4 linked regions of the Astyanax mexicanus genome follow. The main gene of each other region encodes a partner of the protein of the gene in region 4 in a complex. Links are inferred from orthologs where the notes say so. Each region holds a gene or a part of one and is shown on either strand. Other genes may lie near its edges.

What was found.
Region 1: mcm4 (region 4) and gins2 share a complex: the UniProt entries of both Homo sapiens proteins name them as parts of the CMG helicase complex. The link is inferred for Astyanax mexicanus from reciprocal best matches to the Homo sapiens genes MCM4 and GINS2.
Region 2: mcm4 (region 4) and gins3 share a complex: the UniProt entries of both Homo sapiens proteins name them as parts of the CMG helicase complex. The link is inferred for Astyanax mexicanus from reciprocal best matches to the Homo sapiens genes MCM4 and GINS3.
Region 3: mcm4 (region 4) and cdc45 share a complex: the UniProt entries of both Homo sapiens proteins name them as parts of the CMG helicase complex. The link is inferred for Astyanax mexicanus from reciprocal best matches to the Homo sapiens genes MCM4 and CDC45.

The regions. Positions count from the first base shown.
Region 1 is NC_064416.1:12,866,055-12,873,041, reverse strand, and holds the start of gins2 (DNA replication complex GINS protein PSF2), read left to right. Parts: upstream 1-3,965; 5' UTR 3,966-4,086; coding exon 4,087-4,176; intron 4,177-4,822; coding exon 4,823-4,937; intron 4,938-6,635; coding exon 6,636-6,735; intron 6,736-6,987. Other genes in the region: emc8 (ER membrane protein complex subunit 8), read left to right, coding at 1,027-1,186. UniProt on the Homo sapiens protein: Required for correct functioning of the GINS complex, a complex that plays an essential role in the initiation of DNA replication, and progression of DNA replication forks.
Region 2 is NC_064417.1:7,533,110-7,541,126, forward strand, and holds the start of gins3 (DNA replication complex GINS protein PSF3), read left to right. Parts: upstream 1-5,004; 5' UTR 5,005-5,143; coding exon 5,144-5,314; intron 5,315-6,867; coding exon 6,868-7,101; intron 7,102-8,017. Other genes in the region: E3 ubiquitin-protein ligase znrf1, read right to left, coding at 19-418. UniProt on the Homo sapiens protein: Required for correct functioning of the GINS complex, a complex that plays an essential role in the initiation of DNA replication, and progression of DNA replication forks.
Region 3 is NC_064419.1:34,876,833-34,884,561, reverse strand, and holds the start of cdc45 (cell division control protein 45 homolog), read left to right. Parts: upstream 1-4,708; 5' UTR 4,709-4,841; coding exon 4,842-4,892; intron 4,893-5,122; coding exon 5,123-5,182; intron 5,183-5,329; coding exon 5,330-5,422; intron 5,423-6,150; coding exon 6,151-6,288; intron 6,289-6,393; coding exon 6,394-6,555; intron 6,556-6,657; coding exon 6,658-6,716; intron 6,717-6,839; coding exon 6,840-6,888; intron 6,889-7,303; coding exon 7,304-7,365; intron 7,366-7,446; coding exon 7,447-7,497; intron 7,498-7,605; coding exon 7,606-7,725; intron 7,726-7,729. Other genes in the region: ufd1l (ubiquitin recognition factor in ER-associated degradation protein 1), read right to left, coding at 774-904, 1,036-1,157, 1,264-1,296, 2,721-2,853, 3,224-3,226. UniProt on the Homo sapiens protein: Required for initiation of chromosomal DNA replication. Core component of CDC45-MCM-GINS (CMG) helicase, the molecular machine that unwinds template DNA during replication, and around which the replisome is built.
Region 4 is NC_064413.1:413,031-419,994, reverse strand, and holds the start of mcm4 (DNA replication licensing factor MCM4), read left to right. Parts: upstream 1-3,958; 5' UTR 3,959-4,049; intron 4,050-5,206; 5' UTR 5,207-5,218; coding exon 5,219-5,276; intron 5,277-5,669; coding exon 5,670-5,822; intron 5,823-6,117; coding exon 6,118-6,248; intron 6,249-6,373; coding exon 6,374-6,475; intron 6,476-6,964. Other genes in the region: cebpd (CCAAT/enhancer-binding protein delta), read right to left, coding at 1-283. UniProt on the Homo sapiens protein: Acts as a component of the MCM2-7 complex (MCM complex) which is the replicative helicase essential for 'once per cell cycle' DNA replication initiation and elongation in eukaryotic cells.

The sequences.
Region 1 (6,987 bases), on a different chromosome or scaffold from region 4:
ACGTAACACACAGTTAAAATGTGAGTTACAGAAGGAAATGTCTGCCCACTAAACATACATAACTAATATTCTGTGAAGTGTTTGATAAAATACATTTAATTGTAAATTAAATAAGAAATGTAAGGTTGGCAAAATTAAATAATATTTTTATATTTTAATTTTGTGGTTAGTCATGATTAAAAGTGTATATTAAGGTCACAAATCTGGTACTTCCCTGAATTTTTGGGAGATATACTAGTGTGATTTGCCTCTAACTCTTCTAACTCTAACACTAATCAAATTACTGTTTTAATGTGATTTTCAAAATAGGATAATCGAGATTGTAGATATGTACATTTAGAGCCTGGAAGAGGGAATCTTAGGTAATAGGCTTGTGTTTCTGTTAAGATACCTTTAAAGAACTCTCTCATACGGTGTATTTTACAGTTATTTTCATATGTTTCAGTTTTCTTTAACTAAAAGTGGGTTAGGTTTGTATCTTATTTAGAGCTTGCACAGTTTTGACTCCCTTGAACATGAATGTTTGTATACTTGATATAAGGCTGTAAATGCTGGGCGCCAAGCGGTCCAGCAGACTAAAGCGCTGCCACTACGAGCGGAGGTCGCAGGTGGGGCATCACTAGTGATAGGGGGAGTCCTAATGAGTGGGTTGGATAATTGGCTGTGCTAAATTGGGGAGAAAATGGGAAAAAATATAAATTAAATTTATAAATAAAAAAAGCTGTAAATGCTGTTTGTTTGTTTATTTATTTATATTATGTTATCCTAAAATAGAAACTGATTAAAACTGTCTTATCAGTTGATGTGTATCATAAGGAACTAAAAACATCTAAATTGTAATCAAGAATTGCATATAAATTTGCAGAATTTCAAGATTTTATCGTTTTACGATATCGCCCAGCTCTAATCTCAGGGTAGTTTTAGTGCTTTTTAAATTAGAATCTTTTAATGTGTTGAGTAACATTTTACAAGAGTTTGCATAAGTATCTGCATATGACTGACTGTGGATTTTGAATCTCATTTCAGAGACTCTTTTGAAGACTGGACAGAAGCTCAGAAGATCACGTCAGCCCTCCTGGAAAACAGGTCCTATGAAAACCTCATAGACTTTGACAACCACCTGGATGACCTCAGGAACGACTGGACAAATCCTGAAATCAACAAATCTGTGCTGCATCTATGCTGAAGCCGTCGAGGAGATCTCCTGTACTGTTCAAGCCATCAATGCCAAAATGGGTTGCGTATTGTTACTGAGTTCAGTCCCATAGAAAGATTATTCCCAATGGGAAAAGCTGATGGAAAGGACGCATTTCTAAAGGGCAAGCAGGACACTGGTACAACATGTGTAATGAAGGTCTGAGATGATTCTGACCTTCATGGCATGATTTATATTTTGGTCTGTTTTTCTTTTTTTCTGTTGTCAGGCAGCAATTTATATGCATCCATTTGACGCACAACCTTATTAATTTGGTGGTTTATAGCAGATTACGATCAGTTCTACTTTTTTCACGTCGTTAAGTTTTCTTTTACTAACAAAGCTTAATTTTCCACTTCACTTTATTGTTTATTTTGAGCAAAATAACTTGAATCAACACAGATCCAACTTTTCTTTTCTTACATACTAACCTGGTTGGATTTGTGTTTTAATTTCTGAATTTTATTAATCAATCTGAAACACAACCACAGATCCTTTAAAAATGGGATGGAAATTGCAGCATTGCGTATTTTTCCCATTTCAGCTGAAGTGGCTGGTCAAGATTATTTACCACCTTAAATGCAAATAAGGTCCATTTAAGCGTAAAGCCATCAGCTTGAAGGACTTATTTTAATATCCATACACAATACAACTGTAAATGCTAGAGAATGATTCAGATGTGTTTTTTTTTTTCAAATGTAATTGCTTGTTTGTTTTCCCTGAATTCTGTAGCCTTACAGAGATAATAAATAATCGTTCAGAGTTTATGTTAAAGAAAATTGTTTATTTCACTAATATTTTTAATGTATATACCTCTTTTAAGATGCAACTTTAAAAGAAGATTAGTCTTAATATGTAAGCAATTTTTGATGCTCTACCAAATATGAGTTTAGTTTAATAAGGCACAGGTGATATTTGTGTTAAAATGATTGATTTGGAAGTTGTGTAATTCAGTAATATTCACTGAGGACTGATAGGATTAATATAATTATTAATATCATTATTAAAATATGATTGAGATGATTGAAATTAGCTTTTGTAAAACTAAATGTAAGAATAAAATCTTTTGAAGAAATCTTTGTACATTCTTTTTTTGACACTGTGTCTTATGGGTATTTAAAACAAGAACCAGCAACATGGATGTATTTGTCCACTGATTTTTTTCCACAGTATTGCTTTCAGTCATACTGGTTATTTATTGTATTGTGTCGCTGTGTATGTCGTTTTGGATCGTTTGTTTTTACTTGAGGAATCAGGAGCATGACCAGTTGAAAAGCAGTACAGGAACTAAAAACTCTAACAATGAAATTAAACACAAAAGAGCAGCGATGGCTTATAAATAAAAGCAATATAAAATTAGAAATAGAATGTAGATTCTCACCATCACAAACATGAAAAAAAATACACAGCCACAATAACTGCATTTATAAATTTCAAATAACCAATGAAAGCATACCTAAACTATCAGTAGTAAATCATGATGGAATGTACTATTTGCAGTACTGTGCACCCTTTTCGACACAGAATCACATTTTTTATTATTTCTCTCAGCAATAAAGAGAGTTTCTACAGGAGTATAAAACTTTCTATTTCCAAATCATGGTTATTATTTAAAAAAAAAAAAAAAACAACAAACTAAAAAAACTAAATCAATAACTAAAAAAAATAAAAAAAACAAAATCACAGTTCTGTCGCCTCCTGGTGGCTAGGTCACGTGGTGATTACAGGCTAAACCAAAGGACCAAGTGAGAAAACCCACTTGGGTTTGTGACGAATTATTGTCCAAAATGTATGGAAAACAGAGTTTATAAATGTTTGATTATTTGTACACTGACAATTAAACTAATTTCTTCAACATCGAAAAATATAAACTGTATCATTGCTAACTCCAGTTATAAACCTTTAAACAAATGGTAAACAAGTACAAAACAGGAATTATTTTGCATATATGAAATTGTAAGGTGTTTCTTATGGATTGTTTGTTTTATTTGTTTTTGTGATACTTCACAGTGTAACAGACATGTATATTAGTTATGTAAATAACAAAATAAGCTAAATCTTCCACCAATACATTTTTGGATTTTTTTTAATAAACTAAACTAAAACCAGTCAGCTCACAGTAGCAGTAATGCAAACACCTTTACTGCCTAAAACATTTTTTTAAGAAACATGGAAATATGCAGGTCATTGTATTAGCAAAATAATGTATTTTAAATCTTACAATTAAAGGAATCTCTTGTAGTATTAATTTACTATTTGTATTATTATTATTTTTTTTTTGCAATTTAGCTGATTAGATATGGAGTCCTTAACCACACTGGCAGAGAGGAGAGCCCTCAGCAAGCTGCTGAACACCTTCCTCTGCTCAGCACCATCACCAGACAGAGGAGCACATTTAGTGCACATGCTGTGCCAGTTATGGGACCATGGTTATTGAACCAAATATTACTTTCTGAACTCTTAAAACTTTATGAATATGAGCTTTTATTTTTACATTATTTGAGGTCTGAATCTCTCTCTTTTTTATTATAGCCATTTCTTATTTTCTGCAAATAAATGCTCTAAATGACAATGTTTTTTTTTTATTTGGAATTTGGGAGAGATGTTGCCCGTAGTTTATAGAATAAAACAACAATGTTCAATTTACTCAAACTTATACCTATAAGTAGCAAAATCAGAAACTGAGGTGCTCCATTCACTCCCATTCATTGAGGTCTTCCTCGCTGGCTCCCTCTAGCGGCGGGTTCTGATATAACGGGGGGCGGCTCCGGCTAAACCACGGGGCTGTAACGTCACGCAGCCTGTCTGAACAATCCGCGGGAAAAGCGGAGCTGAGTTTTCGGGGGATTTAAGGATTATTCTCGGCTTTTCCGTCGATATTTCAACAAAGCATGGATCCGTCTGAGGTGGAATTCCTCGCTGAGAAGGAAATGGTGAAGATTATCCCGAATTTTAGCCTGGATAAGATCTATTTAATCGGGGTGAGTAACGTTAGTTTAGTGTGTGTTAGCTTAGCATAGTCTCCCCTCAGAGGCTGCCTGATTAACTAGCGTTACGTAAGTTAAGTTAACTCTAGTTAATTTAGCGAGTTATAAACTTATACATTTAAGTGTTTATCCGACAGCAGCAGCAGCAGCGCTGTTTTGGGGGTTAATGGGGCTGTTCGCCGGTGTTCTGTCGAGTTATGCTACCCATCGATATGTGCTTTTTTACGGCACTGCGCATGCGCCGACCAAAAGTTTATTTTTGTACTCTTTCTATAATTAACTTACTTACTTTTTATTTTTGGGTAATAAACATCATCTTTGCATTTTTGTACTGTAAATAGCAGTTAAAAATAATAATTAACAATAAAAGATAAAAAAAAAACAATATTGTTGTATGACCTTACCTTTTTTTATTTTACCTGATAACGTTAACGTTACAGTGATTTAACTTAGCCTATCCACATAACGTTACCTCACCTAGGCTTCTGCTTTGAGTATTTTCTAATATGTTTTTTTTTTTTACTTTGACCTTTTTATATAAATTAAATACCACTAGGGTAGCACGGTTTGACAAGGTAGCACAACTCGACACAACACCGGGTTGTTTATAAGCTCTTGTGTTGTGATCGTATATTTGTAGGGGGATCTGGGTCCGTTTAACCCCGGGCTGCCGGTGGATGTGCCGGTCTGGCTGGCCCTGAACTTGAAGCAGAGGCAGAAATGCAGGATAGTTCCTCCAGACTGGATGGACGCAGGTAACCAATCCTCACTCTGGGGTTCTGGGTCTTTCCTAAAATAATTAAGCATTCATTATTCACAGTTTATAACTTTTAATAGCTTTTGGATTCCTTGCACTGTTAGGAGTGGGCGATATGGCCCTAAAATAATATCACAGTATTTTTGGCGATATGACTAAACACAGATAAAAAAAATAAGAAGAAGATTATGGTACTACAACAACAAAATTATTATTTTTTTAATTTTTACGGTTGCATGTGTTATGATATGGCACACCCCTAACTGAGATATTAAATAATACAAGATTTATCAGATTTATAACAGACATCAATAATCCAGAATGTCATACTAATCATACACTCCAAATATCTCCATATTTCCAGGTTTAAAGAAAAAAAAATTATACTGGACAGATATAGTCTGTCTCTAGTAGATTTATAGTTGTAAATGAAAACAGCGTGAATTGTTCTTTTGGGAAATATCGCAAAAAAGTAATGCACTGATGTTTTAATTAGGGGTTAGTGATATGGCACAATGTTTCACACTATTTAAAATGTAGGCAATATTATTGTGTAGGATACAATATCGCACACCCCTACACTGTCCCAATGTTTGTGGTTACCCCTTCTAAATAGGGCTAACCGATTAATTGCAGAAAAAAAAATCATCAGACTAGTCAGCTATCAAAATAATCACTAGTTGCAGCCCTACTTCTAAATGCACATGAAACTTATGCCGACTATACACCAAACTATTTTCAAGCGATTTTACTGTTGCAGACAAATTTCTGGTGTAGGGATAAAATAATAAAAGTCTTTCTAGAGTTGAGTTGTGGTCGCACTACATCTTTCAGTGGTTAGGATTGAAGGTTTAAGTCTCTTTCTCGCCCTGGCCTTCAGATAAAATGAACCCTTTTTAATATTATTGTAAGTCTTGAGCCTTGGCTCACGCAAATAGTGACGTGAACAATGTGACATACTGTAGGTTACATTAAGGGGAATACATTGACACAAAAGGATAATACTTATAATAAAAAATCGAGCTACAGATGAAAGGAGCCTGTCAAAATGGAATGTTTTTTTTCTTTTATATACAGTGCAGAGGAAGCAGTTAGAATATGGTTGCTCAGCCTTTATTACCAACTTTATTCTCCATACAAATGTTCTGCACACGCACCTAAACACACTACAGAGACACTTATAGTCAGGTCTAGAATAATCATTCCTACTTTAGCATCTGTCTGTTTCTAAACGAAGCAAGTAATTCTCATTAAAAAAAGTTTACTCTGCTTTGATTGTAGGGATACAGAGAATCATAACACTATTAATTAGGAAGTAGGAAGGCTGATCATCCAGACTGAGGAATAACTATTCAGTTTAGCTGTCTTGTAAAATACACAACAACATTTGTCTGTATTTAGGAATGTGTATTTAGTTACAAGTTTGGGTTGATTCTGTACTTTACAGACTGTTGGGAACCCTCTTTGTTGCCCATGCCCATTTTTGCATGTTTTTTTTTCACTTATGAAGTTATGTTTCACATGAATATAAACAATCAATAACATTTACCTAACACAAATTGGATCCTGTTTAAATTTTGCTTGGGATCTATTAACATACATTTACCTGACAGCCTTTCACAGCTTCACAGCCTGTTGTGTTTTGATCATGTTTCCCATAGCTTTATGTAATCTCTCAATTTTCTGTGCCTTTTAGATAAACTGGAAGAAATCAGGGAGCAGGAGAGAAAAGAGGACACCTTCACTCCCATCCCCAGTGCTTATTACATGGAATTGACCAAATTGCTACTAAACCAGTAAGTTTAAGTTTAAGCCTGCATGGATAATGTGGCATTACTTTTATTTCTGGAGTTGTATGTCACAGCAATGAATAGTATCTCACCTGAATAGACTGTTCTTAATAAACCTTCAGATAGCCATTTCTAAACATTTCCAAAAACAATGTTGCTGAGGACTTATTATTGACATTGTCATTACTGACATTTACTTATTGGACTGCTGTAAAGAAGTCACATATTAAATATTTCAATGGTTTACTCTGTTTGCTT
Region 2 (8,017 bases), on a different chromosome or scaffold from region 4:
ACTCAGGCCAGCACTCACCGCTGTGTGCGCTGAACCACCGGGGCGCGATGTGCAGGGGTAACGCGTCCGCCAGGGAGGCGCGGGAGCCCAGGTACAGCACGCCGTCCGTGTGATGTCCCGCGCCGTTTGTGTCCTGGTAGCCGTTGCCGTGAGCCGAGTCCGACCCGGATCCGCCGCCAGCCCGCTCCGAGTCTGTCGTCGCGCCCCGCGCGGTGTAAAACCCGAAGGGCACTGCAGCGTTGTGGTCGATCCCCATGCCGGCCACGGAGCTCACGGAGCGGCTGCGGAGCCCCATCGTTCCGCCGGCTCCGGCTCGGTAGTGGCCGAAGTGGGCCGAAGGCGGCACCGCGCTGTCGTCCGTCGACACGCCGGGAAAGGCTCCCCGGGGCCGCCCCGCCGTGCTCTGTTTGCCCCCCATCCAAGGTGGCCGTGGGCAGATGTGTGTATGTTGTGTGTTTGGGTGGGTGGGGGGTGTTGGTGTTGTTGTGTGGGGGGAGAAAAACAACAACAAATAACAAACTAAAGATGAAAAAAAGAGAACAAATCAGGAACAAGCTAACCTATGTTAATTTCGTAGGTTATATATTGTTAGGATAGCTCAGCCAGCTAACAAATAAAATGCGTCCTCAATCAGATCCTCCCTGGCTGTCAATAAAGTCTGTCTGGAGCAGCTGCTGCTGTGCAAAGCTGTGCTAAGAGACCCAAGAGCCCATCTTCCAGCATGCGACGGCGACCTGACCGTCTCGGCTCACCTCCAGCGAGAAAGAGAGGAGGAGAAGAAGCCCTGAAATCCTCTAGAAATCCCCTAGAACCGCCGAACACAGCAGTCTGACGAAGCCGAGACACCGCGCAACACGTCTCCCCCCGGCAGGCAGGCGGGCGGGCAGGACACAATCACAACACACACGATGACAGCCTAACAGCGACGACAGGTCCGCGGTGGGCTTCAGCTCTCAACCTACTTCCCTTATTCTTCATATTTCAACACCAACAGTGCAGTCCAGCAGCCATGGCATCTGTTGCTGGCCGTGTTTCCCATCGGCGTCGTTTCCCACGTCCCGCTCGTTCTCCGCCAGCGCGGAGATTCAGGTCAGTGTGCGCCGCTCCCTGCACTCACAGCCGTTACGGTTTTTTTCTCTGCACACCCGTTCTCCGACAAGACCCGCCTCCTGAGCCCCGATTGGCCACGTGCGCCCTGCCTCCTGCGTTCTGATTGGATACTTATTTCCCGCCTTCTGCGTTGGGATTGGATCGTGTTTGGTTCTGCTTGACGTACACATTATGTCCAAATGTTTGTGGACAAAATGAATGTATTTTTGCACAAGTTAGAATAATTTACCATACAAAACACGAAAGAATGTTTTGGGTTTTTTTGCGCTTGGTGTTTATAGGAACAGTCGAGACCCGAGCAGAAATACAGAGCTTAGAAAAAGTGAGTTTTGCATAATATGTTCCCTCTAAATTGCACATCATGCTGACAAATGCACACACATTTGCCTGTTCCCTGTGAAGAAGTACTGTCCATAGAAAAGGCATCACATCAGTACAGTATAACATATTTCCATTGGGTCGCAGAGCAGTGGAATTGTGTTCTGGAATAATGGGGATTCCATCTAAAATGTTGGTATCAGTTGGGCTTTGGGATCTGATACTTGCTTCTGGACTCTTGCATTTGGATTTGACATATGTTTGGATTGGATAGTTTTTTTGTTGTTTTGGGACTGGATGGTAGATTTTCACCACTTGCGCTGGAAATGAACAAAATTTCCTTGCTACCTGTGTTGAGATTAAATGGTCCCTTGCTACCTTCTTAGTTTGGATTGGATAGTAGTGTATTACCTTCTGTGCAGGTATTGGACAGTTTCTCACCCCCTGTGTTAGAATTGGACGGAAATGTCCGTCCACTTGTGTTGGTATTAGTTCTGGACCATGGTTTCACACCTTCTGCATTCGGGCTGGATAGTAGTTTTCTACCTTCAGCATGGGAGTGGAAAGTATTTTCTTACCGCCTCAGTATTCCCCGCCAACTCCCAACAATTATTTTACAGTTGAACTGAAAATAATTGGAATAAATAAATGTTTTATATGGTTTACATTAAACATATGTTCATCTGACTTATACATTTTACAGCTACTAATAAAAGCTAATTTTCTTACCTGAATAAGGCTTCTGAACAGTATATAAAACACGTGTGTTTTGTGTGTTTAGATCACAGTAAGTGGGCGGGATTGCCTGAAATCAGGCGGGAAAAAATCGTCTCGCTGCTGAAAGACAATGGAGGCACGCAGCGCGCATGCGCGGATTAGCAGCAGCAGCAGCAGCAGTGTCTGTGCAGAACTGCAGTTATCTCCCATTTATCTTCCAAAACAGCCCTGTTTCAACACAGCTGTGCTGTTTCCCACACAAGCGACTACAGCACAGCAGACTGGGGAATAAAACTATTGTTTACAGCCCTTAGTAAAGGGATAGGAAGAACTAAATATTAAACAGTATGATTTAATAATGCTAATGTATTAATGAAGTGTAACCTGTGACTGTGTTTTACATATGCCCACGATGTCTGTAATTATATTAGCATTTTTATTTGCAGCAAAGCTTCAGAAACTCCAGTAAGCATCTAGAGAAAAATACTTATTTTGTCATGAGTAAAAAAAGTAAAGAAATTAAATAATAATATAATATAATATTTATGCACACACACATATATACAGTAGATTCACCCTCATTAGACATGCACATGATAAGGTGTGTGTGTGTGTGTGTTGATTGGGGCTATATTAAATGGCATTAATTGATAATTAATTAGTTGATTGATCCTAAATAATGCATCACCTTCTCATTGTATTCTAGGTTAATGTTAAAGTCTCCTAAACTATAAAAAAAACCACATGGAATTATTTAGTAAGACAAAAAAATGTTAAACCATAGTATGTTTTTTTATTTAGATTCTTCAAAGTAGCACCTCTTGTTTAAAATCTTGGCATTTATCAGTCAGCTTTATGAGGTAGGCTAGAATGGCTTTCAGTTAACAGCTGTGCTGAGTTAATTCCTCGAATTACTTGAATTTCTTGCCTGTTAATGTGTTTGAAAGGATCAATTGTAAAGTTGTAAAAAGGTTCTGAACTAAGTAAAACACAAAAATACTTTAAAAAATGAAGGTCAGTCAATCCAAAAAAATTTTTTTTTTGAAAGAGCAGTCAAGTGCAGTCGCAAAGACAATTAAAAAACGCAACGATGAAACTCGCTCTCATCAGGACCACCCCAAGAAATGAAGAGCATGAGTTACCTCTGTTGCACAGAATAAATTCATCAGAGTAATTAGCTTTAGAAACCGCAAGTTAACAGCTCCCCAGATAAGAGCACCAAAATGCTAGTATGAGTATTTTGGTTTGTTTAAAACTTTTAAGTTACGAAATGATTCCTTATGTGTTTCTTCATATACTTGATAACTTTAGGATTCATTTGCAATGAAGGAAAATATATATAAAAACAGTAAATGAGAAGGTGTGTCCAAAATGTATATCATCACATAATTAGAGAGGCTGTCTGGATACTTTTTATAACAGTGTAAGGAGGTGTAATTGAGAAACATTGAGAAACTGCTCCATCTTCTGGACAAAGTGATAACATCTCAATCTTCCTCAAACTAATCAAAACACATTGTTTAATTATTTAAATATGATCACGACATGCTAACACATCCCCACGTGCTCTACCAGGCTCATGCGTCATTGGAATTCGTAGGTTTATTTACGTGTGTTCCGTCACAAAAGCACTAAAAAACAAGGTCTTAAATGGACTATTCTTCCTGCATAGTGCATTACACTGATCATAAGCCCTTTCTGTCTACAGTACATTTTATGCCATTTGTGTATCTACATAGGTTATAAAAAAATAGTAAAATAATAAATAATAATAAAATAAATAAATATAAAAAATAGTAGCTAAATAACCTACCATTAGAGAATTACTGGCAGAAATAGCTGTTGTATGTTGAATCAACGTTCATTGTGCCATCTTTAGTGTGTTAAAACATTTTCAATGTCAGAATTGATTTATTTGTGCACATCGATTGTCCAGGAACGTTCCTGATCAATTTCTAAGGTAAGCCTAGTTGGTTTGTTTAGTATAGCTGCTTTTTACATTATATAATTGAACCATTGACATGACCACAGTTAACACGGTAGTACTAAATATAATAAAACCACTGACAAAAGTACATGTAATACAGTACCAGTGTTTTTCTTTAGTTCTTTATTAATTTTTTTCCTACAATGTAGATTAATATAATATGATATTACCAAATGCTGTATCTATATCTACTGGAGTATTATTTTTATTCCTACTTTAACTTTTATTTCACGAGCTACTTATTATGGATGAGTTTAATACTTTTACTCCTATAAATCTTTATGTACTGCATCATTACTCCTTACAATTATAAAAAAAAACGAGGAATCATTCCAAACCCACATTATCACTAAAACCTCCTCATCACTGAGTGAATCAAGAGATCAAAAAAGAATCTGATATTAAAAGAAGAGCTCGCTGCTCCTGTTCTGCCTTTCACTCTGATAACTTTCCTCAGCTTTCTGTAATAACTACACTAATAACACAGTACTGTACTTTTACTTTCAGTACTTAACTTATGTATTTAACCATAAACTATGTGCAATACTTAAGTACAAAAATGTTGAAGTGTGATGCTTTTATAGAACAATCCAATTTGTACTTAAGAGCACTTTTACTGTTACTCAATTTTTTGGTTCTAGTACTTTACTCCGCTCTTTATACGTGTCTGATTAGACGAATCTAAAGTAAAAAAAAAACATATTCTGGTTTGTTAAACACTTTTTGTTTACAGAATATTTCCACACGTTCCTGTATAGCTTTAATGTATTCAATATTAATTTTACAATGTAAAATAAATATATAAAACACATTGATTAGGAAGGAGTGTGTCCGAACGTTTGACTGTTACCTCTGTCATCGATTGCTCTGGCTTGCTCGGTGTGATCTGGGCTCTGTTGTTATGGTTGGAGTCTGGCGCCAATTTTTGTGTTCTGTGAAAGCTCTGAGCTCTGTGTGTGAGACTGGTTCAACGTGTGTTTATCCGTTTCTGGGTGAGGAAGCAGTGTTATTATGGACACTCAGTCCTACATGCCCGTGTCTCCGGGGGTGGGGATGGAGGAGAATTTCCTCTCTCTGGATGATATCTTGCTGTCGCAGGAGCGGCTGCCCTGTAAGACCGACACGGAGTTTCCAGGACTCGGATTTCTGGAGAAGAACGCAGACAGTCGCCACATACCTGAGGTGAACCAGCTAACCTAGCTAACCTAAACTAGCCTAGCTATTCTAGCCAAGCTGCCTTAACTAGCCTTGCTAAACCTTAATTAGTCTAGCTGTCCTAGCCAAACTACCTTAAATAGCCAAGCTAACCCAAACAACTTACACTAAAATACACACTATATTTAACTCTCCCAGGTCGGTTTGGTGCCAAAAGGACGTTTAAAAAACTTTAATATTTGCCAATTCTGCTGCAAAAGTTGATAATAGATTTGTAACCTAGGTTTCTAACTAGGTTAATTTGCTAGTTATTGAGTTATTAGAAATATCTAACTGTTACTGGGCCTCAGCAACAACTAAGTTAACTGACGCCTAATAAACAATGTTAACTTAAAGATTTGTAAAAGTTTGTTTCCCCATAAGTGGCATTAAAATATATAACCTAATGCAATAAAAAATCAACAACTCTTATTCAATTCTCTTTGCTGTCAGGGGAGAAAAGGCTTATGGTTTTCCATGTCCGTATGCCTATTTGAAAGGAACATCCTGCATTGATATTGTTGCATTGAAAAATCCAGTAATATAATAAAATAATAAGTGGTAGGAGCAAAAAAAAAAACCCACTAACTTATCATATGCTTTGTTTCATACAGTTTCCATGTTTTATTTATGTAAAACGGCATACAAATGGGTCTTTTAATCTTTAAAGAAAAACGGTTAAATTCTCTTGATCTTGGAAACATGCTTACACTTTGCTTTATATCTCTTTAAGTTTAGTACATTTTTGTATATATTTTTGTAAACATTGGTAAATATGTTACATATGTTACATGTTTTTCATAGTTTTAACAGGGTTCACATTGTTGTGTTGCATGGAATTAAATGAAGAAGTCAGGGAATTCTTTTATATCATTTATTTGTTCTAATATGTTAGTATTTTTTAAAGTTTTGACTAAGATAATAATTTTTCTTGCATTAAAAACTCTTATAATGCTGTTAGCTTTGAGAAATTAGAATAAATGACTGTAAAGAAGCATATTACAGTATTGCAGTGAAAACTTGTGTGAAAACAATGTGTAGACATTTTATTTATGAATATAAAGATTTTAAAGATTAAAAAAATGTAAATACACTGTCATGCCAAAGTTCTTGGGACAGCAGGTAGTATCTATGGACTTTTGCCATGGAAGCTAAAAACACTGTACTGACCTGTGGGATATGTGGGGCCTCCTGCATTGTGTGTGGATGTTACCAGCTTAACTGTGTACAAAAGTGTCATTTGGCCAAAATGTTGTTTATTTTAAGCCTTACCAGTCTAGCCAAGCTTTTTTGAGAATTACAGCCAAGTGTATGTTTACATAACATACACTGTTGTGTTATAAAATATAAGTAATGTAATTGTCTGGTTAATTCTTCATGTAAACACTAATATTTTAGTAATGCTAGGTTGTATATTTCTTAAACATTTACAACATTAGTACAAAGACAGTTTTGTTTATTAAATAAAATTGTAATTTGTTTCAGCATTTACAGATACAGTATGGTAATATATTTTGGGTATGTGTTGGCGTGTTTTCTAGGGCACGAAGATGGAGATGCCGCTGTGGTTGGCTAAGGGCTTGTATGAGAGGAAGCGGCGGGTGATCTCTGTGGAACTGCCTAAAGTGTATCGCGAGGGCTGGAGGACAGTGTTCGGAGCTGATGCCAACGTGGTGGATCTTCACAAAATGGGACCTTACTACTACGGTCTGGGTTCGCAGATGCTTCACTTTGACAGCCCAGAGAACCTGGAGATCGCTCAGACTGTTCTACAGGTGAGTTCTTCCCTCAGGGGAGCCTTTAATACATGAAAGCAGTTCCCTAAAACAGGGCTGAGTATCATTACAATGCAGTGATGATAGAGAATGACAGCATCTGTCGGTTTGTGGGGTAATCTGTTCATAATTAAAAAGGTGTAATGTCGGGAATGGGAAGGTGTTGATAGGCTGGAACAGAAGCTAACACTTTTTCAGGGCAACTGGTACAACAGTCTGTTGATAAACTGAGCAGACTGGGTTTAATTAGTGAACATTACCTCAGGAATGCTTTATACATTATACAGCATTTCTCAAAAGTAGATAAAGCAGCACAGCTATCAGAGCTTCATGATGATAATTATGATGATTATTCGTCCACAGCCCAGACTTTTTCTTGCTACTCTTACCGCTGCAAAGAAAACTGTTTTCTAGTTCTGGTTTAACCCCCGCTTCCCTTATTCTGTACTTAGCTTTCAATACTCTGCTCAGTCGTAATTCATAAATGATCATGCACTAGACTCCAAGGAGCTTTAGGTAAAATTATTAACATGTGGTCAGATATGGTCATCATATCAAAGTTTTTCTTCTTCTTTTACATACATATTTATTCATGTTTATCCGTTTCACCCGTATAATGAATTTTGTTTTAGTGTAAGTATGTCTATTATTTTCCTGTTGCTATAACACTTTGTGTGTACTGTACACCTACTGTACATCCTCTCATTTAGTGTTTTTATGTTTTTTATACATTGTAAATTAATATTGACATCATCCAGACTATGAAGGAACAGATATAAAATCATTTAGTAACTTAAAAGTGTTAAGCAAACCAAAATATTCTGTGAAGTATTTAGGTGCTCTTATCTAGGGAGCTGTTAACTTGTGGTTACTGAGACTGGTAACTCTAATGAACTAATCATGTGCAACAAAGGAA
Region 3 (7,729 bases), on a different chromosome or scaffold from region 4:
TGAACATTGTTGTTTTATTTTATAGACTACATACAACATTTTTCCCAAATTCCAAATAAAAATATTGTCATTTAGAGCATTTATTTGCAGAAAATGAGAAATGGCTAAAATAATAAAAAAACAAGATGCAGAGCTTTCAGACCTCAGATTATGCAAAGAAAACACGTTCATATTCATAAAGTTTCATAACCCTGGTTTTTAATCACAGTTTTAATGCATGGCATGTTCTCCTCCACCAATCTTACACACCGCTTTTGAGTGACCTTTTTTCACTCCTGGTGCAAAGAATTTAAGCAGTTCTGCTTGGTTTGATAGCTTGTGATCATCCATCTTCCTCTTGATTATATTCAATAGATTTTCAATTTGGTAAAATTAAGGAAACTCATCATTTTTAAGTGGTCTCTTATTTTTTCCAGAGCTGTATACAGAAGTGATATTCAGTATCCCAGTAGTAAATGTTAGCTATCTGCTAAAGTACTGGATAGCTGAGTGGGGCACATTTCACAAAGCCTGCCCTTGATTATCTGCTTTAATATGCTTGTAATGGGTCCTCACACTTTCAGGATACATAATAAAAAGTGGGTTTTCATCAGGGTCTTCAAACAAAAAAGGCTTCCTTTTCATTCTCCACAATATTACTGCAGTAAAAAGATATGCGGTCATGTTTAAGAAAGATGTAGCGACAGAGACTCTACATGCTTTGTTGGTGCCCCTTTAATTTCCTTTACAGCTTAGCTATTGAGTGCAGTATGTTGTTACACTGGATTACTTACACAGCTTTAGGGTTTGTGATGTCCAAGAAGTCTGGACTCTGAGGCTGAAATTTGGAGTAAGTTGCCACCATGAGATTGACACTCTCAACCTGGACCAAACCTCCTTCTTCCAATAACAGGTTCTGCATCATCTGTGGGACAAAGACAATATTAAGTTCACGGATCAGAAGAAAAACAACACACAGTAGTTTACGCACCTACAAAATACTACACTCTTCGGCTATAATGTCAAGAATAATAAGTGTTTGTTTTAGTTTATTACCCAGTGGGGAAGGTAGCAGATCCCTTCATCAGCAACAAACTCCAGGACACCACAATGGGTCATTCTGTCTGAGTTCTTATTGGTGAGTTTGAACAGCATGGGGTATGTGATGTTAAGTCTGCCTGTTTAAGGATAAGGAAGGTTTTATTCAGTACATCATATCATTTCATACAACTACAGTGGTACAGTGGTCTCGTATTAGAAAACAGTATTAACTTATGAACTTACTAAGCTGGTCCAGTGCTGATGGGGGCATTATAACTGGCAAGAGAAGGAAGAGAGTATTACACACTCAAGAGGAGTACAATCAAGAGACAGTAGCCCATCTAAGCCTACGCTGGATATACATAAAACACACACACACACACACCTATGCCTATACTGTGTCAACTGATATATAAAAATACCATATAATAAATGTTATTCTTGTTGTTATCAATCATGATTAGATTCATTAATATCACATGAGTAGGCCCCATGTGCAGTGTACAACCCAGGTGGAGCTCATGTTTAGACCCTCCTTGCCCCATCACTAACATTAATATGTGAGGCCAACATGGAACCCATGGACAAAACGTACAGGTTCCATAATGTCATTTCAAAACTCCAAATATCTGCAGTGCCACCACAATACACAAAGTGCTGGGGACAGACACACAATGTGAGAAGGATAATGGGCCCATTCACAGTTCTCTGTGTCTCCAAAAGTGCACAAACACAACAGATTACTGTACCATGTAATTGTGAAGGAAATAAAGATATACAGGAACACATTATTTGGAGCTCTATTCTAAGACATACCCACATGGGGTTCTGCACTATAAGCCCCTGTTGGCACAGCCTAAGCTTTTGTCCTTAATGCATTTTCCCCCTTATGTTACTTTTATTTTCATACTTTTAAGTAGTTTTGAATTCAGTTCTTTTTACACGTTTACTTTTAGTAAAAAGCTTGAGTTGATCCCAGCTGGCATTTCAACATTGAATCAACATTAATGTTATGGTTGAATCAACCTTGGATTTGGTGTTGATTTTGAAAAGTGAATCAACGTTGATATGGCGTGTACATTCAACCTTTCATAAACCATAGCTCATAAAAACTAGAAAATTCTATGGTTAACTATAGTTTATAGTGAACTATAAACTTACATCACTGCACTAAAGCTGAGTAAAAAGGATGTTACCCACCACTATCAATCAGATTAAACGTCTAATCTCAAAAACACAACAGTAAGACTAATAGAACATACTCATTTCCCCAGGTATGGCGAAGAATTGATGCCAAATTAAAAAGCAATTACTGCAAATGGAAGCAAAACCACTTTTTCATCCTTCCATCCTTTTTTTTTATATAGTGATGAAATGTAAAATGCTAATTCAAAAGGCAGAAGGTTAAGGACATTATGTTGATTCGACGTGTAAATTTTAACGTTTTCACAACCACTTAACATTAAATGTTAAAACAGACGTTACTTCAACCATATTTCAGCCACATTTTACCGTTGAAGGTCGGTTGTTTGCCAGCTGGAGATACTAATTAACTTCTACAGAAGTATTTAAACCCTAGTATCTATATTTCTACTTGAGTAATGAATGTGAATTCTTTTGAAACATTCGCTACAATAAGACACAGAATATAGTATCATGTCTTAAAGAATCATCACACAAAAACACTGTAAATGTAATACTTTTTCCTCCTTTTTCCACGTCTGAGCGGTCATTGGGTCCCGCCAGCATCGACACCGAGTAGCAGCGGTACTGTGTGGAGAAGCGGTTCTGGAAGGCCCGAGGCATCGGGTGATCAAACATGTTGAAGGAAAACTGAAAACGTAAAAACAATATAAAGCAGATTAGCGAAATGATGGGCTGATCTCAGGCCTTACCGACTAACCTCGCTAGATTACATTCACCCCTATAATATTACACACAACAACTAACAGCTACGGAACCTCATATCTTCAACTACACCCTGAAACTAAAATACTGAACACCCGGTTTCACCAAACCCAGTAAAACTACAGAGCAGCTTCAACTGAGAACACAAAAACAAAAGGGCTGACAGTGACAGTGCAGCTTTAGTCGCTAGCCTAGCGTAGATTTACCGGCTCTTTAACACACACAACTAACTATTTAAACCAGCACACCACCCGCATTCATCAGCTACAAACGTGGCAAAGCTTCCAACACCCACCATGTTGTCTGAATACGCTTTACTTCTCTCAGAAATACTGCAGAAATCAGACTAACGCTACTGTACAAAAACACACTACTATCCTCTTCCCAGGGAAACGCTGAGTATACAGGATGTGACGCCTCCCCACAACAAAACACCTCCGCCCAATCAGATCACTGCAACGCCATGCCGTCATCAAATTACTCCAAACAGAAGCTCATTTTATATTTATTATTTATATTTTATACATTTTATATACTATTTATATATTATACACAAATTGGAAATACAAAATAAAACAAACAACCATAAAACCAATAAACTGAGCAAAACATTTATCTTAACATCACATCTAATTAATCAACTAACAAATTTAACTAATAACTTCATAACTTCATAGCTCATAACTTCATATACTTCATATACATTCATGTTCATAGAACAGAGACTCCATAAATAAAATAAATTCAACAAGAAATACACTTAAAATTGATTACCTTTACCAAATAATTTTAAATTGTGCTGATAATTTCCCTAAAATGATCATCAGATTTAATAAGTAAAATTCACAGCAAAGACATTAAAGTTAAAACGATAAACGATATTTAAGCATATTTAAGTTTTATTAGAATCCCATATTTTTTGTTGCTGTTTGTTTATTTACTTTCGTTTATTTTTATTGGATATATATGGTATGTGAACACGTGCTTTAAGCAAACATATAAAATATATAAAGCTTTAAAAGTATATATATATATAAATATATATATATATATATATATATATATATATATATATATATATATATATATATATATATATATACTTTTAAAGCTTTAAAATCCAGTTATAAGCCTTTAAACCTGCTCTGCCTGATACTTCAGCATCATCTCAGCAACTCACCAGTCAGCACTCAGTAGCAGCAATGCTAGGGCCTTTACTGCTTAAATCCAATTTTCTGTAAAACAATACTTTATTTTACTTTTTAAAATGAACGGAAACATATTGGAAAGGTAGTTAATTACTATACGTAATTTGAGTTTTTAGCCGTTTAGCTATATTTTTCTACGTCCATTGAGGTCTCGTTCGCTGGCTCCCTCTAGCGGTTCGTACCAATAATCAGATTAAAATAGGGCGATAAGAAGTGGCCAGGCTCTCTACATACTGGCTCTCTTTAAACTAACACTGACACTGACTAACACTGCGTTAACAAATATGTATGCAATATTGTAAATAAATTAAACAAAAGCATAAAACATCACTCATTATATTTGTCGTAACAAATATCTGTATCTGTTTCAACGATGCTGCGTAAAAAAATAAAATAAAATAAAATCGAGTACAAAATGTCACCTTGAGCCATTAAATACGAGCAGTTTAGTGATTGGTTTGACAATCTGTGCGACCCGCCTCCTTTAACTCAGGGAGTGAATCTGATTGGTTAGGGCTTGCAGATTTGACAAGATGTAACAGCTGTCACCTGATTGGACACTGCGACAAAGCCCGCCTCCTCTTGTATGAACGAATTTGGCGCCAGAGTTTCTGGACGGAAAGTCGCGAGAATTAGCAAAACAAGCTGATTTACCGAGCCTGCAGCGGGACTGAGGGGATTTTTATGTGTTTTTGAGATTTTAGGATGTTTGTTACCGATATTAGGAAAGAGTTTTATGATGTTGTGGTTAATCAGGTGAGGCGTTTCTCGTTTTAACGTGTTATAAAAGAGTTTAGTCGAGTTTAACCCGGTGGCTAGTTAAACTAGCTATGCAGTGTTAGCCGGGCGACCGTGATTGTACCTTACCTAGCTAACTATCTACCCTTTTTTGACGTTGACTCGCTGAATTCTGTGGTGTGTGAGTTAGTTTATATGTGTATTTAGGTACATTAATGTCTAATTTTTAATATGTTTTTGTGTTTAAGCGAGTGGCCCTGCTTGTGTCCGCGGATATTGACGCGCTGTGTGCCTGTAAAATACTGCAGGTTAGTGTCTTTCAGCTCATAAGTAACAAGCCTAAATAACCAGGTTCACTAGTCGGGATAAATTCCTTGTGTAGATCCGAGGTAGTTAAAGGTAGTTAAACAGTTAAAGTCAATTTATCTCATTTTAACCCTATCGTTTTTTTCTAGGCCTTGTTTCACTGTGATCATGTCCAGTACACTCTTGTTCCTGTGACAGGCTGGCAGGACCTTGGCACTGCTTTCCTGGAACATAAGGAACAGGTAACTTAACAGTGTTAGTTATTGTTAGCTAACGTTAGCTAGGTGTACACATGTTCTACGTAGAGAAAACATAACTTACCTATGTCACATGACTATTCTATTGTATTAAGAAAACAAAACAAAAAACTAGCTACACAATACATTTTTCTAAGCATAGATCGATAGATAAGGTAGATACAGGCCTCTCACGATAATTACATTATCAACTTATTTTACAATAAATGTACATTCAATTCAAAATCACTTTATTTGAACATAAGGAGAGATTTATAATAAATTTGATTATAATTTTAAGTAAACATTATATAAATAAAATAAAATTTGCAGCATAAATTTGTTAAATTAGATTATAAATAAGAAATGTTTAAATTTGTAGTAATAAGTTTGTGGAGTAATAAGAGTATACTTGGTTTGTTATTCTGTTATCATTATTTTAGTGACAATTAAATAGTCTTAAAATTACAATTTTTAGCATTGTTTATCGCAATAGAAATTTTGACAGGCCTAGATAGGTAGATCACTTTGGTCATTCTAGAAGGACATTCACAATTTCACAGACCCTTTACTTAGTATCTGACAGTATATGATTATTTGTTTGTATTGTTTTGTTTTTCTCATGTAGTTACTGATGCATGTCAAAATGTCAGTCAACATTGTGAACATCTTTAAATAGTCATTAACATTAAGGGTACTGTATGTTGTTTTAAATGTTTTCTCTCTCTTTACAGTACCAGTATTTTGTCCTAATTAACTGCGGGGCAAACGTGGACCTGCTTGAGACTTTACAGCCTGAAGAGGACTCTGTCTTCTTCATTTGTGATACCCACAGGCCTGTTGATGTTGTCAATGTTTACAATGACACCCAGGTGCTCCTTCTTTTGTTTGTTTTAATAGAATTTTATTAAATTGCTTTTTCTAATCTGTGTTTTATGGATCTTAAATTATGTCATTAAAATGTATTGTTGCTTTAGATTAAGCTGCTGATTAAACAAGATGATGATCTTGGAGTGCCCTCGTATGATGACATTTTCCGTGATGACGAAGATGAGGATGAGGACGGTGATGGAGGGGATTCTGGGAATGAAAGCGATGGCGGGTCTGAGCCATCTGGTAAACGGCGGCGGTTTGACGAGGCAGGTTTTCTTCTTCTGGACCCAGTCACTGAAGAAATGTGTTCCCATATTTGTAATTCCTTCCCATTCTAATGATTTTCAGTTTTACCTTTATTATTTCAGGGTGCGTTGGAGAGGAGAATCGAAAGGCAGCGTGCAAAGAGGGAGTGGGAAGCTCGCAGGTCAGTTATGCTGAGTTGACTGAATAAATGCCATATATCTATTACTGGTCAAGTAGTCCAGTTCATAATGCTATTTTTATACAAACATGCTTGTAACCTCCTAATGGTCCTGTGTGTTTGCAGGCGGGAGATTCTGTTTGACTACGAGCAGTATGAGTATCACGGAACTTCGGTGAGTATTCACATCTATGATATGATGGCTTGACTAGGATTTTACTAATATGTTGATGTTAGCAATATAGATAAAATTCATTGTACCTTTTTTTTTTTTTCTTCAAAACATGCTTCTCTCTGTCCATCCAAATTGGTTCAATTAATTGTTAACATGCCCGAAAAGGTTCATGCTTGCTGTTGGTACCTTTATCCTCCTAGTTTTGGGGTGGTGCAGCTAAGTGAGTGGGGTAATCAGCATAATAAAACTGGAGAAAAATGGGATTAAAAAAAAAAAACCATTAAAATATTTTTTTTTATGTTTTGCTTTATAAAACAGTGATTGTTTTTTGTTGATGTGGGTAAACATTGGGCTGTTAAATATTGGGATTATGTCTTAGTGTTTGAGTGCCTTAATTATTTTGTCTTTTTTCTAGGCTTCTATGGTTATGTTTGAGCTGGCCTGGGTTATGACCAAAGACACGAAAGATATGCTTTGGTAGGTGTTTGGACAACTAAAGACTAATACATCAGTATTCATTCTATAGAAATGGGATTGTGACTCTTGTGTATTTGACAGGTGGAGTATTATTGGTCTAACTGATCAGTGGGTTCATGATAAAATCACCCAGTAAGGATTTTTTTTTTTTTTTAATTCTTATGTATTCCCCTTTTCACAGTTTATTTGGCATATTTTTCTTAAAATGTAACGGGTGGTGTATACCTTCCTCTTTTTCAGTATGAAGTACGTAACAGACATTGCTACTCTGCAGAGGCATGTCTCTCGTCATAACCATCGCAATGAGGATGAGGAGAACTCTCTCTCTATCGACTGTATGAGGATCTCCTTCGAATATGAGTAT
Region 4 (6,964 bases):
GCTCGAAGCTCGGCGTGGAGGAGGACATGGAGTCGATGTACGCGCTGAAGTCGATTGCGCTCTCGTCGTCGTAGATCGCCGGCGCGTTGCTCAGCTCCACCACGCCGCCGCCGCCCATACCGTCCTCCAGGTCCTCCGGCCGCGGAGGAGCCCCGGCGGCTTTCCCGTCCGCGGGCGCGCAGTTCGGCCTGCTCTCGTAGAAGTTGGCGGTCTCCAGCGCCCAGTTCAGGCTGCATGGCGGCGGCGACACGCACCGCGAGTCCGGGCTGTAAGTGTCGCACATGGACGCAGCTGAGAACAACTGCGGCTGGAGAAGAAGCGCGCAGGAGAAAGAGAGAGAGAGCGCGAGCTCCTCAAAGTCCTTAAAGTTCCTTCAACTCTTTTAATTCCAAAGTTTCTCCAACTCCTAAACTTTTTTCTAAACTTCTCCAACTCCAATTACAAGTTGTGTTTAATATATCAGCAGGTATCTTGAAGGTAATAACTTGCTGCTATTCTGCTGTTGTGCAGCAGGTGCTTTTATTTCTCATCTAAAACTCTTATCAATATCTCCTCGTATCTCCAGCACCGTGTCTCCAGCGCTCCTCTCCTCGCTCTGCTCTGAAGCGGTTCTTCAGCTCCTGGTAAATAAGTAAGCGCTGCTCCTCTACGTCAAACCTCCGCCGCCCCCTTCCCCAAGCCAGTCACGGCCAGCGCCGGACACGTGGTGCCCCAGCTCCCACCCGGAGCGCACGAGAGCAGGGTGGGTAGTTAGTTGGTTGGTTGGTTGGTTGGTTGGATGCGTGTGTGGAACGCCCACCACGATACTACGAGTAAACTTCAGTGACGAGGAGCAACAAGTCTCAACCGCTCAAGTTTGTACCGTGAAATGTCAAACCTGTGCTTATTGTTCCTGTTCTTCTTCTGCTGCTGCTGCTGCTTCCTTTAGCATGCTCTTCACACATAAACTAGTGCATTAAAAAAAAAAAGGGAAACTCTATATTTTATAGATGTATCACACACAGGATGATCTATTTTAAGCGTTTATTTCTTTTATTGTTGATAATTATTGTTGATTGTGGCTTACGGCCAATGAAAACCCAAAAAATCAGTGTCTCAGAGCTCAGATTTCAAATTGGGCAGTGTGCCAAGTCCTGCTGGAAAATGAAATCATATCTCCATAAAAGTTTTTTTTATATGAAGTGCTGTAAGTGCTGGGAAAACAAAACTGCACTGACTTTATACTTGATAATAAAACACAGTGGATCAACACCAGCAGATGACAGACATGCCTCTCCAAACCACTCTTCCTCCAGACTCTGCTTCCTTGATTTTTCAAATTAAAATGTAAAACTTACTGATGATCAGTGATGGTCTGGAGAGACATGTCATCTGCTGGTGTTGATCCACTGTTAGTGGACACACTTCTATTAGCTACACCAGCAGATTATACAATATAACACTGTTATTAATACATGTTAGCACTTGTTTGTAGACCTGCTGTTTGGCAGATATTTACAGTAACCAAGTAGAACTGATTCACTACTGTACTTAAGGACTAAAATGCTGTATCTGTTTCTACTGGAGAATTATTTTCACTTGCTTTATTTTATTTCTTCTTGTTCTTAGATTATTCCTCCCCCAGGTTCTCAGGCCCCTGATTGGCACCTAATTGGCAGCACCTGTGAGTATGGGCTCTGATACAGTGCTCAGTAGTTCTGCTGCTCCAGGAATCAGCTTCATACCTTGTTTGTTTTCAAGCTGATGTTCCTTAAAACCAGGTTGCAGCATTATTGGCATCATCTGGAGTAAGCCCTGGTACTAGTATCTCCAAATTGAAGGCTGAGTTCCAGATAAATGTTGATGTCAGATACTAGAAGACAATACTCCAAGATCATCAAACACCAAACGGATCAATGGCAGAATTAACTGTTTTTAGTTGGCAGAGAGGATTTATTGGGCAGACTTTGTAATGGGTACACGTACTCAGCTCTGCTGCTCATCCCACAAATACATGTTCCTTACTAATGCTGCTTCAGTTAAAACAGTAATTATCAGGATTTCCAATGTTATAAGATTTATCACCAAGAAGCAGCAAAGTTACAACAAACAAATGGTAATATAAAATCTACCAAACACAAATGTCCTTACTTTTTGTGCTATTTTAATTTTCATCACTTTATTATAATGAAAGGCTAGAGACCCAAACCAAAGGTAGATGTGGGATTATAATTGATATTAAACTGTATATAATAAGTCTGTAAAGGCTGTTAAATGCAGTGTATTTGGCTCCTCTGGGAACATGTGGATCCTGTATTTAAAGGCTGCACATGGCGACCCGCGCTCTTAGAACAGGCGCCACCTGGCGGCCGCAGCTTAAATTACAGGTTTTTACGGGTTTTCCTTTGGCACTCCCTCCTGGTGTTACTAATCCCAATCCAGAACTGTCTGTTCCCTTTTTGTGTGTGTGTGTGTGTGTGTGTGTGTGTGTGTGTGTGTGTGTGTGTGTGTGTGTGTGTGTGTGTGTGTGTGTGTGTGTGTGTGTGTGTGTGTGTGTGTTTTGTCTGAGAGCAGGGCCAGAGACAGACAGCAGGATGTCCATGCAAACAAGTTAATAAATTATAATGAAATAAAAAAAGAGGCAAACTACTGAACTTAAGTTTTTGTGTAATTATTGCTATATATTGTTTTTTATTTTATACTTTATACTAATTTTGTGTCATTTATTGATTTATAATGTTTAAAATGTTCAACTGTCAAATGCTGAATAATAAATAAAGATAATAAAAGTCATTTAAAAATCAATATATTCCTAAAATATTCCTAAAGAAAATAACTGCACTGTCCTGTCTGTTAAACTGTCTCGTCTGCTGTATTTATTGTAGTGTTATAGTTTTATGTCGCACTATTTTTACACTTTTGCACTTTATGTTGTCTATTGTATTATTGTTCCATTTTGCACTACAGTTCCAGAAAAAACGCAATTTCGTTATACTGTGTACCTGGACTCATATGTAATGACAGTAAAAGACTCTTGACTCTTGAAAAATCAAACATTTCATGTCCTCCAAACCTTTCATTGAACAGAAAAGGATTTTCTATGACCAACTCTTGTAGCCCTTTTTCGAGCCAAGGCCTGTTAAGAGTTTACATTAACCCCTTAATGTCATCTAATTTACATAATGAAGGTAAAATTAAAACTAGCTCCTTTAAATAGTAGATTGTTCGGCTTCTACAGCCCTGTTCCCATTATTTCAACAATTTGATCGCTTTAATTGAATGTTTTAAGTTCCATATCACTAGCTTTAAAGGACTTCTGTAGCAAAAAATGCTTTATTTTCTTTTCTATAATTATAAACGTGTTTATTTATTTTTAATGCAATGTTACATGGCTTATCTACTTCCAATACAATGAGACGCACAAGTGAGTTATTAATAAAAGTATTTTTTTAAAATATGTGTGCAAGAACATGTAAAAAAAAATATATATATATATTTGTCTGTTTATATTCTTACTATATTCTTGTAAAAACTAGTGTTTTATGCTCCCTTGCTCTATAACTTTTGATTTAAATGATTAGTTTATAATTTAGATTATATTTGATATATTCACAGGGACTCCCTAGCTTTCAAAAATCGTATTTTTCCTTCAAAAATATATAATTCCTACCATAAAGGGTTAAATAACAACCCCTTATTTAAGTCACGTGGTAGCTCTTCTTTGTCGTCGATATTTGCCGCGAAAACTGTGGATCAAACCAATGTGAAACAAAGCTTTTGTTTATAACACTGATTAAAAATCGCAACTTTAGTTTTATTTTTTAACTTTGTAAGGTATATTTTGTATAAAACTTTTATAAATAGTCATTTTTAGTTGGTAACTTTGTTAAAAACACTTAATATCGATTTAAAACAACAATATCTATTTAGCTACCTCCCTCTGTACATATGGAGTGGATCGTTCCAAGTCTGCACGTCTGTTTGATTGGTCAGAATTTCCCCGCGAAAACGACGTCACGCCAGCGATTTCGCGCCACTCTGCATGTATTTGGAGAGAAGGATCCGCAGTGGTAAGTTCCTCGTGTTTTTTCTTTTGTGTTAAAAAACGCGAATAATTTAAAAACAAGCAAAAGTTAAAACAAGAGTTTTAAAGCGATTCTTTATAATTATAAGGTGTGATTTTGTGATTAACGTAGCTGGAATTACTAATCACTAATTAGTAAATATTAAAAACGTTAAATAAAGTTAGTTGAATTAGTAAGACTTTGGATTTTGATGTTTTGTTATAATAATAAAGGTGTTTTTAATATTGATATGTAGTTAACGATGTATCTGTATGTAAATACGCACGTTTTGTTGATGTTTATCTATGTTTAAACATCTAAAATACACTATTTTACTGATTTTATCTGCCCAGCAACAAGTAGTGGCAAATCCAGGTCCCGAAAGTACGAATCCGCACCGGGATTTCGCACCAACTGCCTGGGCGGCTCTGCTGCAGCTGAGCTGCAGCAGAGCCGCCCAGGCAGTTGGAGCGAAATCCAGGAGTGGAATTGCACTTTCCGCACTATTTTACTATTTTAAACCACTTTTACTATTAACTATTTTACAATTTCACTGTTTTACTTTTTCAGTATTTCAATTCTTATGAATTTATAGCGAAATCCCGGAGTGGATTCGCACTTTCCGGACTAAATTTACTATTTGTACAAACTCTGACGGTACTAATCCACTGTTTCACTATTTTACTTTATTAAGTTACTGTTTTCATTATGAACTGCTTATGGAATTGGAGCGAAATCCCGGAGTGGATTTGTCCTTTCCCGACCATTTTATTATTTTAACTCGTTTTACCAATCCACTATTTAAAAAAAAAAACTATTTTATCTACCTAGCAACTAGAAGTGGCAAATCCAGATCCGAAAAGTTTGGATCCGCGCCGGTGTTTCGCCCCAACTGCCAGGGCGGTTTAGAATAAAAATACTAACTTAGTGAAGTTTGTTATATACTAAAATTAGTAATTTTTTTTTAAATAAAAAAAGTGCAAATCTTGGCAGCTGGAGCGAAATACTGTAGTGGATTTGCACTTTCCGGACCTGGATTTGACTGTAATGCCTCTTTTTAGCTCTTTGTTTCATGTGGAAATAATAAAAAAAAAACTTTGCTTGTTTGCTTACTTTACTGATTTAACATTAACTAACTATGTGTAAAAATGTTTTTATTTTAGTGAGTGTTCAAAATGTCTTCCCCATCCTCGAGCGCCCGCAAGCGAGGCAGGAGCAGCAATCCTCCAACCCGTGAGTTTAAATACAGTTTATTTATTATTTTACAAGAGAAATCTGGTGTGAAATGCACTTAGGTTGTAATAAAACATGATGAAGAGTGTTAACTTTTAACCTTCGTGTATTTGAAGGTAAATACAAGTACTGTCACGATTATATTTTGTAAATCATTTTATCTATATTATAAATTATATTATAATTTTATGACTATTTAAATACCACTGATGTCATAATAAGGGAGAGCATAATATAGCAATTATACTCTTAAAGACAACATTTGAATTAATCATAGATCTATATTTTATTTCTTCACCTGCTGCAGTCTGTTCACACTGTGTATATGGAGTCACTGATCTTTTGTCTGTTGTTTTAATAGTTTAATTGTTTTATTTGTTTGTGTGATTTTAGCTGGTAGTGAGGATGTCCTGTCTCCGTCTCCTCGCGCTCGTGAGCCGTCTACAGGAGAACTGCAGCCCATGCCGACGTCCCCGGGTACAGACCTGCAGAGCCCCGCGGTACAGGACACCTCCCTCTTCTCCAGCCCCATGCCCCGACGCTCCGGTACTACATCTATCTATCCATCCATCGCCAGGGTTCAGGAGAGAGTACTCAGCTAGAGCTTTGGGTATTTTCTGGAGCACAGAAAAGTTATTTAGCAGTTGGTGCACTAACAGGCATTGGGGGAATGCAGGCGCTATCTTGGCAGGTTGATTGAATCAAACGGTTAGTCGCATATTTGCAACAACAGGCGTTAAGGGGTTAATTCTAGATACTTAAAGGTCTAATTCTAGCAGAAATGAGACGCATGCATAAAGAAAGAAACAGGAATATGTACTAAATGCTTTGTTTGATCCAGTTCCTCAGAGTGAAGTGGATATGAGCTCTCCTCTCATATACGACACACCGAGCAGAGGAACGCCGGCTCGACAGAGACCTGATCTGGGGTCTGTCAGAAAGGCTCCGCAAGTGGACCTGAACTCTGACACGGTGAGTGTTAAAGTCTGAGTTATGATTTGATTAGTTCGATTAGTTTAGATCAGTGTTGTATTGATTAGTATTGAGTTATTAGTGTGTGTGTGTGTTAATCAGTGTGAATTTTCTCCTCCTATCAGCCGTCTGGAGAAGCTGCTGTAGCCAGTGAGCAGGCCGCTGGTCAGAGACTCGTCATCTGGGGAACTGATGTTAATGTGGGAACCTGTAAGGAGAAGTTTCAGGTGAGCTCAGAGCAGCATCACACAACATTTCCAAACCTTCTGTTGCAGAACTTTCCTCTGTAGAACATCATAAAATATAATAACACGACACACGAAGAAGAAATGCTAATATTGGAAATATTTTTCAGTTTTTAGCGTGTAGCTACGCACTTTCACCTCCTAGTAGATTTCACATTTCTCCTAATGAGTGTGTGTTTATCTACTGAGCCATTCACTACTTTCATTCACTCTTCATTTTTCTCCAAACTGTCGACACATCACTGCTCGCTCTCTCAGTCTTCAGTTCATTTCCTCTATTAAATCTCACATTTAAACTCAGTAACTTAGAACATCACATTATTCTCATTTTAAAAAGCATCAAACCTATAAAAAAAAGCTCTATATACTTTGCCTAATACTTAATTCACACTCATATCAAACACAGATCAGCCACAGCATTAAAAACAGCTCCTAACATGTATAATCACCTTTATTGTTTCTGCTACCCAA